Linked DNA regions of Arabidopsis thaliana. The protein of the gene in region 1 interacts with the protein of each later gene in a pairwise test. Each region holds a gene or a part of one and is shown on either strand. Other genes may lie near its edges.

Region 1 (5,984 bases):
TTTCTTTATGATCTATAGTCTATAAAATCTCCTATAAACCATCCATTGTTCTTTTGGGTAATAATTGATTATTATAATATTTATGGTGTAGATCAAATTTATTTATTTTCCTAAGATATTGTATATATCAGTGATCAGTCGAAAGATTCAAAACTGAAAAGTGTATTCTATCAATTATATAAAAAAAAATTACTTACTGAGTAATCGTAGAATTTAAGGTATTTTATCCAACGATCGAAAGGATAATTAAGCAAATGAAGAACTTAACTACGGATCGGAATGTTTTCTAAAAACAACAAATAATAAGAAAGAAAAAACAATTGTATAAAAGACAGGTCCACATGAGTGCATGTGAAGCAACAGTTTGTGTTTAGTACTGTAATAAGAAGGATGGAAACATGAAATCAGTAAGAGGAGTGGGTAATTGTTGGAGTATTACAATAATTGTTTTGATGAATATTATGCGTGTGCATTTCTCTGCCATTTTCCCACAAATCATTTAGCATTTAGCTTATCTTATCCTTTATCAAATTGATCAGTTAGTTTACCTCGACCCGTTCTTGATACATACATATCTGTTTGAGTTTTTAAACATCTTGGTGTTGAATTTGTCACGGTTATTATTTATCAAGTTTGGATTCTTTTTAGTGATATCAAATTACTATGCTATGCTAATTGGGCAGTCTGAAAAAAAAATAAAAATTATATTCTCTCGTTTGACGTACGTTTTTTTTATTCCGTCTCCATTTTACTTTACCTTAAAGGCATTGGCACTGACTTTGGGTGTATACGTCTACACATGCTTTTAGTCTTTTAGACATCAGGTAGAAAGTTTACGAAATTAGAATTTTATATCTGAAGAACGTTTAAGAAAGTAGCATTTTAATTAGGGACAATTTGCTGATACATTCAAGAAGTGATACAATTAACCACTTTATTTAATTTTTATTTGTTATATTATCAACAATATTATACTATACCTATATTACACTGCCATAAATCTGTAACATGGGAAGATTCTTATCTAATCAATCATGCAAACGAAAGAACAGTAACAAGCCTGCACTCTCTGCAGTGGCATACATTATAGTATTCACACTTTTGTTACGCATCAAGGTAAGTATGATTGAACTAAAGAAATATGTTTTCACGTATAATGGCCATGAGTGGGCTCGATCTTAATTTTTTTTAACCAACCAAATAGAAAGAAGCTTTTCGAAATTCAAAAGGGGTAAGAAGAAACGTGAAGATCGATCGTGGGAATATCTTCATTATTGCTGATTTTAATTAATAATGAAATTTATTTGGACCTATCTGATATTTAAATATGCTGCAGAGCATAGGGTAATAGGATCATCTGTTCTTCTTCATCACATGTGCAGGTCACCCATTCTTATATGCTTCGAACGTTCACCTCGGTGGCTATATCCTAAATACGAGATTTACAATATAATCACTGATTCATCATTAATATGTAATGTAATCGAATATTGCTAAGAGCTAATGGTATATTTTTTGTTTTTCTTCCTTAGAAGGCAAGCGTTAAAAGACACAAAAGGAAAAAGGTGGGAAAATAGATAAAGACATTCTACAAAAGCTGAATTAGAATGAAGTTAAGCATAAGCTACCTCTATGCCACACACCAAGTGTATGTATAAAAAATAGTAATTATATTAGTATTAGTTTAAGCTTAAGCTATCTATGGCACATTCACAAATCACTATACAGCAAATCAATAGTTGACTTAATTAATTTTAAAACACCGAACACATTTTTGGATTAGTTGTAATTGTGAAGAAAACACATTCTCTCTTCACATGTTCAATGTCTTAAGAAATTTCTCAAATACTTCCAAGATCTTGTTTATTTCTTTTTTTCTTAGAACATGTAACCCTACATACTCTTTGATCACTACATCCATATAAAACCAAGATTCATTTTTATATATCTCTGTGTTTATATGTCACATATATATAACATAATAAACACAGAACAAGCATATACTTACAGAGTTTCTTCTTATTCTACTCTCTTCCTCCACCACCTCCTTGCATGTTCACTAGTCTCGTTCTTGGTAATGAACTAAGGAGTCAAGTTTCAGTTGAAGCTGTTGAGACAGAGGAAGAAGTTGAAGATGAAGATGAAGATAATAGTTCTCTTCCTTTACTACTGTTACATTGGTTCTACTTCCTCTGTTTTAGCTTCCATCGACAATGTCAACGAGCTCTCTGTTTTGCTGTCGGTGAAATCAACTCTTGTGGATCCTCTCAACTTTCTCAAAGACTGGAAGCTTTCAGACACCAGCGATCACTGTAATTGGACCGGTGTTCGGTGCAACTCAAATGGCAATGTTGAGAAGCTCGACCTGGCGGGGATGAATCTCACAGGCAAAATCTCAGATTCGATCAGCCAGCTGAGTAGCCTTGTCTCGTTTAACATATCATGCAACGGATTCGAGTCGCTGCTCCCGAAATCAATCCCTCCGTTGAAATCTATTGACATCAGCCAGAATTCATTCTCAGGGAGTCTTTTTCTATTTAGCAATGAATCACTTGGGCTTGTTCACCTCAATGCTTCAGGGAACAATCTCTCCGGAAATCTCACGGAGGATCTCGGGAACTTAGTCTCTTTAGAAGTTCTTGATCTCCGAGGGAATTTCTTTCAAGGGTCACTTCCAAGTTCATTCAAGAATCTACAGAAGCTGAGATTTCTCGGATTATCCGGAAACAATCTCACCGGCGAGTTACCAAGCGTTCTCGGCCAGCTCCCTTCACTTGAAACCGCCATTCTTGGTTACAACGAATTCAAAGGTCCGATTCCACCGGAATTTGGAAACATAAACAGCCTCAAGTACCTTGATTTGGCCATCGGAAAGCTCAGTGGTGAGATTCCGTCAGAGCTTGGGAAGCTCAAGTCACTCGAGACGCTTCTCCTGTACGAGAATAACTTCACCGGAACAATTCCAAGAGAGATAGGAAGCATTACCACGCTAAAGGTTCTTGATTTCTCCGATAATGCGTTAACCGGCGAGATTCCAATGGAGATAACAAAGCTCAAGAACCTCCAGCTACTGAACCTGATGCGCAACAAACTCTCAGGCTCCATTCCTCCCGCCATCAGCAGTCTAGCACAGTTACAAGTCCTCGAGCTCTGGAACAACACGCTCTCCGGCGAGTTACCAAGCGATCTCGGGAAGAATTCTCCATTACAATGGCTTGACGTTTCTTCAAACTCCTTCTCAGGCGAGATTCCTTCAACTCTATGCAACAAGGGAAATCTAACCAAGCTCATTCTCTTCAACAACACCTTCACCGGTCAGATTCCAGCGACTCTTTCCACTTGCCAATCACTAGTTCGTGTTAGAATGCAGAACAATCTACTAAACGGATCAATTCCTATCGGCTTTGGCAAGCTTGAGAAGCTACAGAGACTCGAACTAGCCGGAAATCGTCTCAGCGGAGGGATCCCTGGAGACATCTCCGATTCAGTTTCACTTTCTTTCATTGATTTCTCAAGAAACCAGATCCGATCATCTCTCCCTTCCACAATCCTCTCAATTCACAACCTACAGGCGTTTTTAGTCGCCGATAACTTTATCTCCGGCGAAGTTCCAGACCAATTCCAGGATTGTCCTTCACTCTCTAATCTCGATCTCTCATCAAACACTCTCACTGGCACTATCCCTTCAAGCATTGCTTCATGCGAGAAGCTCGTAAGCCTCAACCTAAGAAATAATAACCTCACCGGCGAAATCCCTAGACAGATCACGACAATGTCTGCATTAGCAGTGCTAGATCTCTCCAACAATTCCTTAACCGGAGTACTACCAGAGAGCATCGGAACATCTCCAGCTCTGGAACTCCTAAACGTCTCATACAACAAGCTCACAGGTCCAGTCCCTATCAACGGCTTTCTCAAAACCATAAATCCAGATGATCTAAGAGGAAACTCCGGTCTCTGCGGCGGCGTTCTACCACCGTGTAGTAAATTCCAAAGAGCAACATCGAGTCACAGTAGCCTCCACGGGAAACGAATTGTCGCCGGATGGTTGATTGGGATAGCATCGGTTCTAGCTCTAGGGATTCTCACCATTGTTACGAGAACTCTGTACAAGAAATGGTATTCTAACGGATTCTGCGGCGACGAGACGGCGAGCAAAGGTGAATGGCCTTGGAGATTAATGGCGTTTCATAGATTAGGGTTTACAGCTTCCGATATCTTGGCATGTATCAAAGAATCAAACATGATCGGAATGGGAGCAACCGGAATCGTGTACAAAGCAGAAATGTCACGATCAAGCACAGTTCTCGCCGTGAAGAAGCTCTGGAGATCTGCCGCGGATATTGAAGATGGAACCACCGGAGATTTCGTAGGCGAAGTTAACCTCCTCGGGAAATTGAGACACAGAAACATAGTGAGGCTCCTAGGGTTCTTATACAACGACAAAAACATGATGATCGTATATGAATTCATGCTCAACGGAAACCTTGGTGATGCGATTCACGGCAAAAACGCCGCCGGGAGACTTCTCGTTGATTGGGTTTCGCGTTACAACATCGCGTTAGGTGTAGCTCACGGCCTCGCTTACCTCCACCATGATTGTCATCCTCCGGTGATTCACAGAGACATCAAATCCAACAATATCTTGCTCGACGCGAATCTCGACGCCAGAATCGCCGATTTTGGCCTCGCCAGGATGATGGCGAGGAAGAAAGAAACCGTTTCAATGGTCGCCGGTTCTTACGGTTACATTGCTCCCGGTAAGGTTTAAATACCATACCGATTACTAAATTGATTACAATCCGGTTTAGTCTAACAACATATGGTTGATCATTTGCAGAGTATGGATACACTTTGAAGGTGGATGAGAAGATAGACATATACAGCTACGGCGTCGTACTATTGGAGCTGTTAACCGGAAGAAGACCATTGGAACCGGAGTTTGGAGAATCAGTAGACATTGTGGAGTGGGTGAGAAGGAAGATAAGAGACAACATATCACTAGAAGAAGCATTAGATCCTAACGTAGGAAACTGCAGATATGTGCAAGAAGAGATGCTTTTAGTTCTACAGATTGCTCTTCTCTGCACTACAAAGCTCCCGAAAGACAGACCTTCGATGAGAGATGTGATATCGATGCTCGGAGAGGCTAAACCGAGGAGGAAAAGTAATAGTAATGAAGAGAACACTAGTCGTAGCTTGGCCGAGAAACATTCATCGGTTTTTAGTACTTCACCTGTAAATGGCCTTCTTTAGTATGAGATTTAAGAATCAAAAGAGGCCGATAAACTGATTCGTTCGATTCGTGTTCTGTATGTAGAAGAAAGAGAGAAAGAGAGAGAGATATGTATCTTTTGATTTAATTTTTCCATGTAGAATAAGTTTCCTTTGTTTTACATGATCATATTAACTTTGTGCATTGCTCTGAACCGTTTTGTTTTTGTGCAAGAAAGGGTTTTCTTATAGATTTTTAAAGTGTGATTTACAAAGAGAACATATAACTAACTAAAAGAAAAATGGCAGAGCCAAAAAAGAAACTGTAAAGGGGAGAGAAGAAGAAGAAGCTTCTTACAATGTTTTTGTCTTCTCTTTGATCTGTGATCTGTCTTATTACTGCTTCAAACATAAAGGGTTCTTCGTAGATTATTATTTGCTTCATAATATCATCTGAGCTGTAAACAAGGATCACACAAACACGGTCACAACGACAAAACAATGATTTTAATACAGATATCAGGATTTGATCGAATCAGTAAATGTACCTTTACCAGTAGCCTCCGATGTTTTCATTATCCGGAGCCTTCTCACTGAACCAATAAACATCCTAGACACAAGTAAAACTCAGGTTCAAACTTCAGAATTTGACGCTTACACGGGACAAAGCATCAAAAGCATAAGAACATATGTATGCATACCCCCACGGAACATCGCCAACAAGCATCCAATCTCCTTCCTTGTCTTCATACGTTAGTACTAATCCGGAA
Region 2 (2,776 bases), on another chromosome or scaffold:
TGGAAGACACTTGGAACATGGACTTTGGAGGTGGTGGTAACATGGGATTACCAATGTGGGATAGTTTTGCATTTTCGCCTTCAAAACCAAAGAAAGAAGAGAAGATTGGTCTCGCTGAAGCCATTACAAGCAGCATTCTCTCTGCTGGTATATGTTGTGATGCACCCTCCTGCATTATATAAAAATCAACACCTAACAAAAACGTTATCCTTTTCTTCTTCCTTTGCTTGTAGGACGCATAGACCTTAGACGGAAGCTTTTCTCCAGCATTCAATTGGTAGATCCTGAAAACCTTTTTTTTTACACACTCAAGTTTTCGCCATGTACTTCCTTAAAATCATGTGCTACCATGTAACTCTTCATACATGAATGTGTTACCTTGGAACTCTCTCTCTCTTTTGGCTTCTCAGATTGGTGGTGCTGGTTTGACGAAAGGTCTTGTAGCGGCAGTGGAAGAAAGGTTTGCTCGTTTCCTTTACCAAACATTTCGTTTTCTAACATCCAGAAGGCACATCCAACTAAACAGAGTATTTTGTTCAACTAATGTTTATGTCCCTCTCTCCTTTGCGTTTCAGAGTTCTTCACGCGATACCTCCAACTGAAGCCATTGATACAGTGCAGGTTCTGCCATCAAGAACGGAGCCACAATTCGTAACTTGGAAAGGAGGAGCGGTACGTTTGCATTTGTTTGCATCTTTTATTTTCTTACCACTCTTGATTTTGTGTATTTATGTACTGAAATTTGAGACAGATATTGGGAATTCTGGACTTTGGGAGGGAGGCTTGGATTGAGAGACATCAATGGATGGTAAATGGGGTTAATAAAGGTGGTCTAAAGAAGTACAAAGACTCTTATCACCTTCAAGGTCAAGCAATGTACTTCATCAACCCCTAGTTTCTGTCTATATCTTAAGCTTTCTCTGTTTCTTATCAGAATACTTTTACTTGTCATAACTCAAAACCAAAAACAAAAATTCTCAGAGTAAATGTTATTTTGCTAAGATATTCTCAGAGTTTGGATTGATTCGAGGCATATAAGAATTTAACTGATTTGGTCATCTTTAAGATCATAACTATTAATAAGGAATCCAAAAGTTATTTAAGGTTTTGTTAGAAAAGCAAGATAGGCATCATGAGTTAGTATATATATATATATATATATATATAATATAGAACTTTTTGATTTTTTTTAATCAAACTATATTATATATATATATGTCTTAGTTCCTAATAAAATGTAAACTTCAATAGAATTTTTGAAATATAAAGTTTTAAACCTGTAATTGTTTGCACTTATTAGATGTATATTACTATTTATACCAATATATAACAGATTTTAATAACTAAACAATTATAATTTTTTAACAAAAACAAACGTAATAGGTTACTGAAATTTACTTTATAACAAAATAAAACGTTTAAATGAAAATTAACTCTTTATATAACATATTTATCTACAGAGCCTATAAATATGACTAAATATTGCTTTAATACTCCAGAGCAAAACAAAAGAAAAACGATTCACAATAATATTTAATATATTTTCTTTGTGATATTGGTTAATTTCTACCAAGAAATGAAGTTGCCTATTATATTCTTAACTCTATTAATTTTTGTTTCTTCATGTAAGTCTAAATTATTTAATTAGGATAATGTGTCAGTATTATAATCATTATAAAAACTGTTTAAGAATTTGATATATCTTTTAAAAATTTGATAGGTACATCAACACTTATAAATGGATCTAGTGATGAAGAGAGAACATATTCTTTCAGTCCAACAACAAGTCCTTTTGATCCACGCTCACTGAACCAAGAACTTAAAATTGGGAGAATTGGTTACTGTTTTGATTGCGCAAGAGCTTGTATGAGACGGGGTAAGTATATTCGTACATGTAGTTTTGAAAGAAAACTTTGTCGTTGCAGTATTAGTGATATTAAATAAGGCATTGTAACTTTGTTAAACATTAATAAAAAAACAAATTATATTACTGTTTAATGTTCATCCATGCTCTTCTTTTTACAATAATGAAAATGTATAATAATCTAAAAGTTTTGTAGTGTGCACTTAACATGAAATTTATTGGAGTTAATAAAGGCTGTCTAAAGAAGTACAAAGACTCTTATCACCTTCAAGGTCAAGCAATGTACTTCATCAACCCCTAGTTTCTGTCTATATCTTAAGCTTTCTCTGTTTCTTATCACAATAACTTTTACTTGTCATAACTCAAAACCAAAAACAAAAGTTCTCAGAGTAAATGTTATTTTGCTAAGATATTGTATGTTTTGTCATGTATTTGATTGAACCCTTTCTCTCTACACAACAAAACCAATTTCTAAGGGAGTTTTATTTTAGATTTATGATGGTTTAAAGAGAGAAAAAAAAAAAAAAAGTAGTTACAGTTTTTTGTCCCACATCGGCAATACGAGAGGGAAGGAGAGCAGAGAAGGGCTTATATAAAGAAGATGGGCCTCACCGTTAGAAATTAAAAAGGGTCGGATGGCTATTTATGCCACGCTCAGCCTAAGATAAGGGGTGAGTGCTGTATGGCAAAATCAAGACATATGGCCGACATTATTTCTGGAACAACCCATGGGTTGGCTCGCTCGGCCGACCCTCCAAATTACAATTAAAAATAATTAAAATTTGTTTATCATACGTTCGGCGTAATTGTTTACTATAATTAGATAAAGAATCCATTTTAATTCCCTCAACTAAAGTATTATTGACAAATACTTTATTCTATATACATTTAAAACTCCAAATGACTATCGTT

The links.
Region 2: the proteins of AT4G28650 (region 1) and LURE1.2 interact in binary tests that used the Arabidopsis thaliana proteins (3 or more experiments, as listed by UniProt).

Annotation. Positions count from the first base shown.
Region 1 is NC_003075.7:14,143,427-14,149,410, reverse strand, and holds AT4G28650 (Leucine-rich repeat transmembrane protein kinase family protein), read left to right. Parts: upstream 1-1,873; 5' UTR 1,874-2,134; coding exon 2,135-4,760; intron 4,761-4,840; coding exon 4,841-5,256; 3' UTR 5,257-5,453; downstream 5,454-5,984. Other genes in the region: IAA11 (indole-3-acetic acid inducible 11), read right to left, coding at 5,483-5,667, 5,763-5,824, 5,916-5,984. UniProt on the Arabidopsis thaliana protein: Involved in the regulation of procambium maintenance and polarity during vascular-tissue development. Involved in the pollen tube perception of the female signal. Phosphorylates MDSI1.
Region 2 is NC_003076.8:17,472,535-17,475,310, forward strand, and holds LURE1.2 (Putative membrane lipoprotein), read left to right. Parts: upstream 1-1,514; 5' UTR 1,515-1,576; coding exon 1,577-1,625; intron 1,626-1,720; coding exon 1,721-1,944; 3' UTR 1,945-1,951; downstream 1,952-2,776. Other genes in the region: ARP9 (actin-related protein 9), read left to right, coding at 1-147, 234-277, 411-460, 576-672, 752-895. UniProt on the Arabidopsis thaliana protein: Pollen tube attractants guiding pollen tubes to the ovular micropyle. Attracts specifically pollen tubes from A.thaliana, but not those from A.lyrata. Triggers endocytosis of MDIS1 in the pollen tube tip.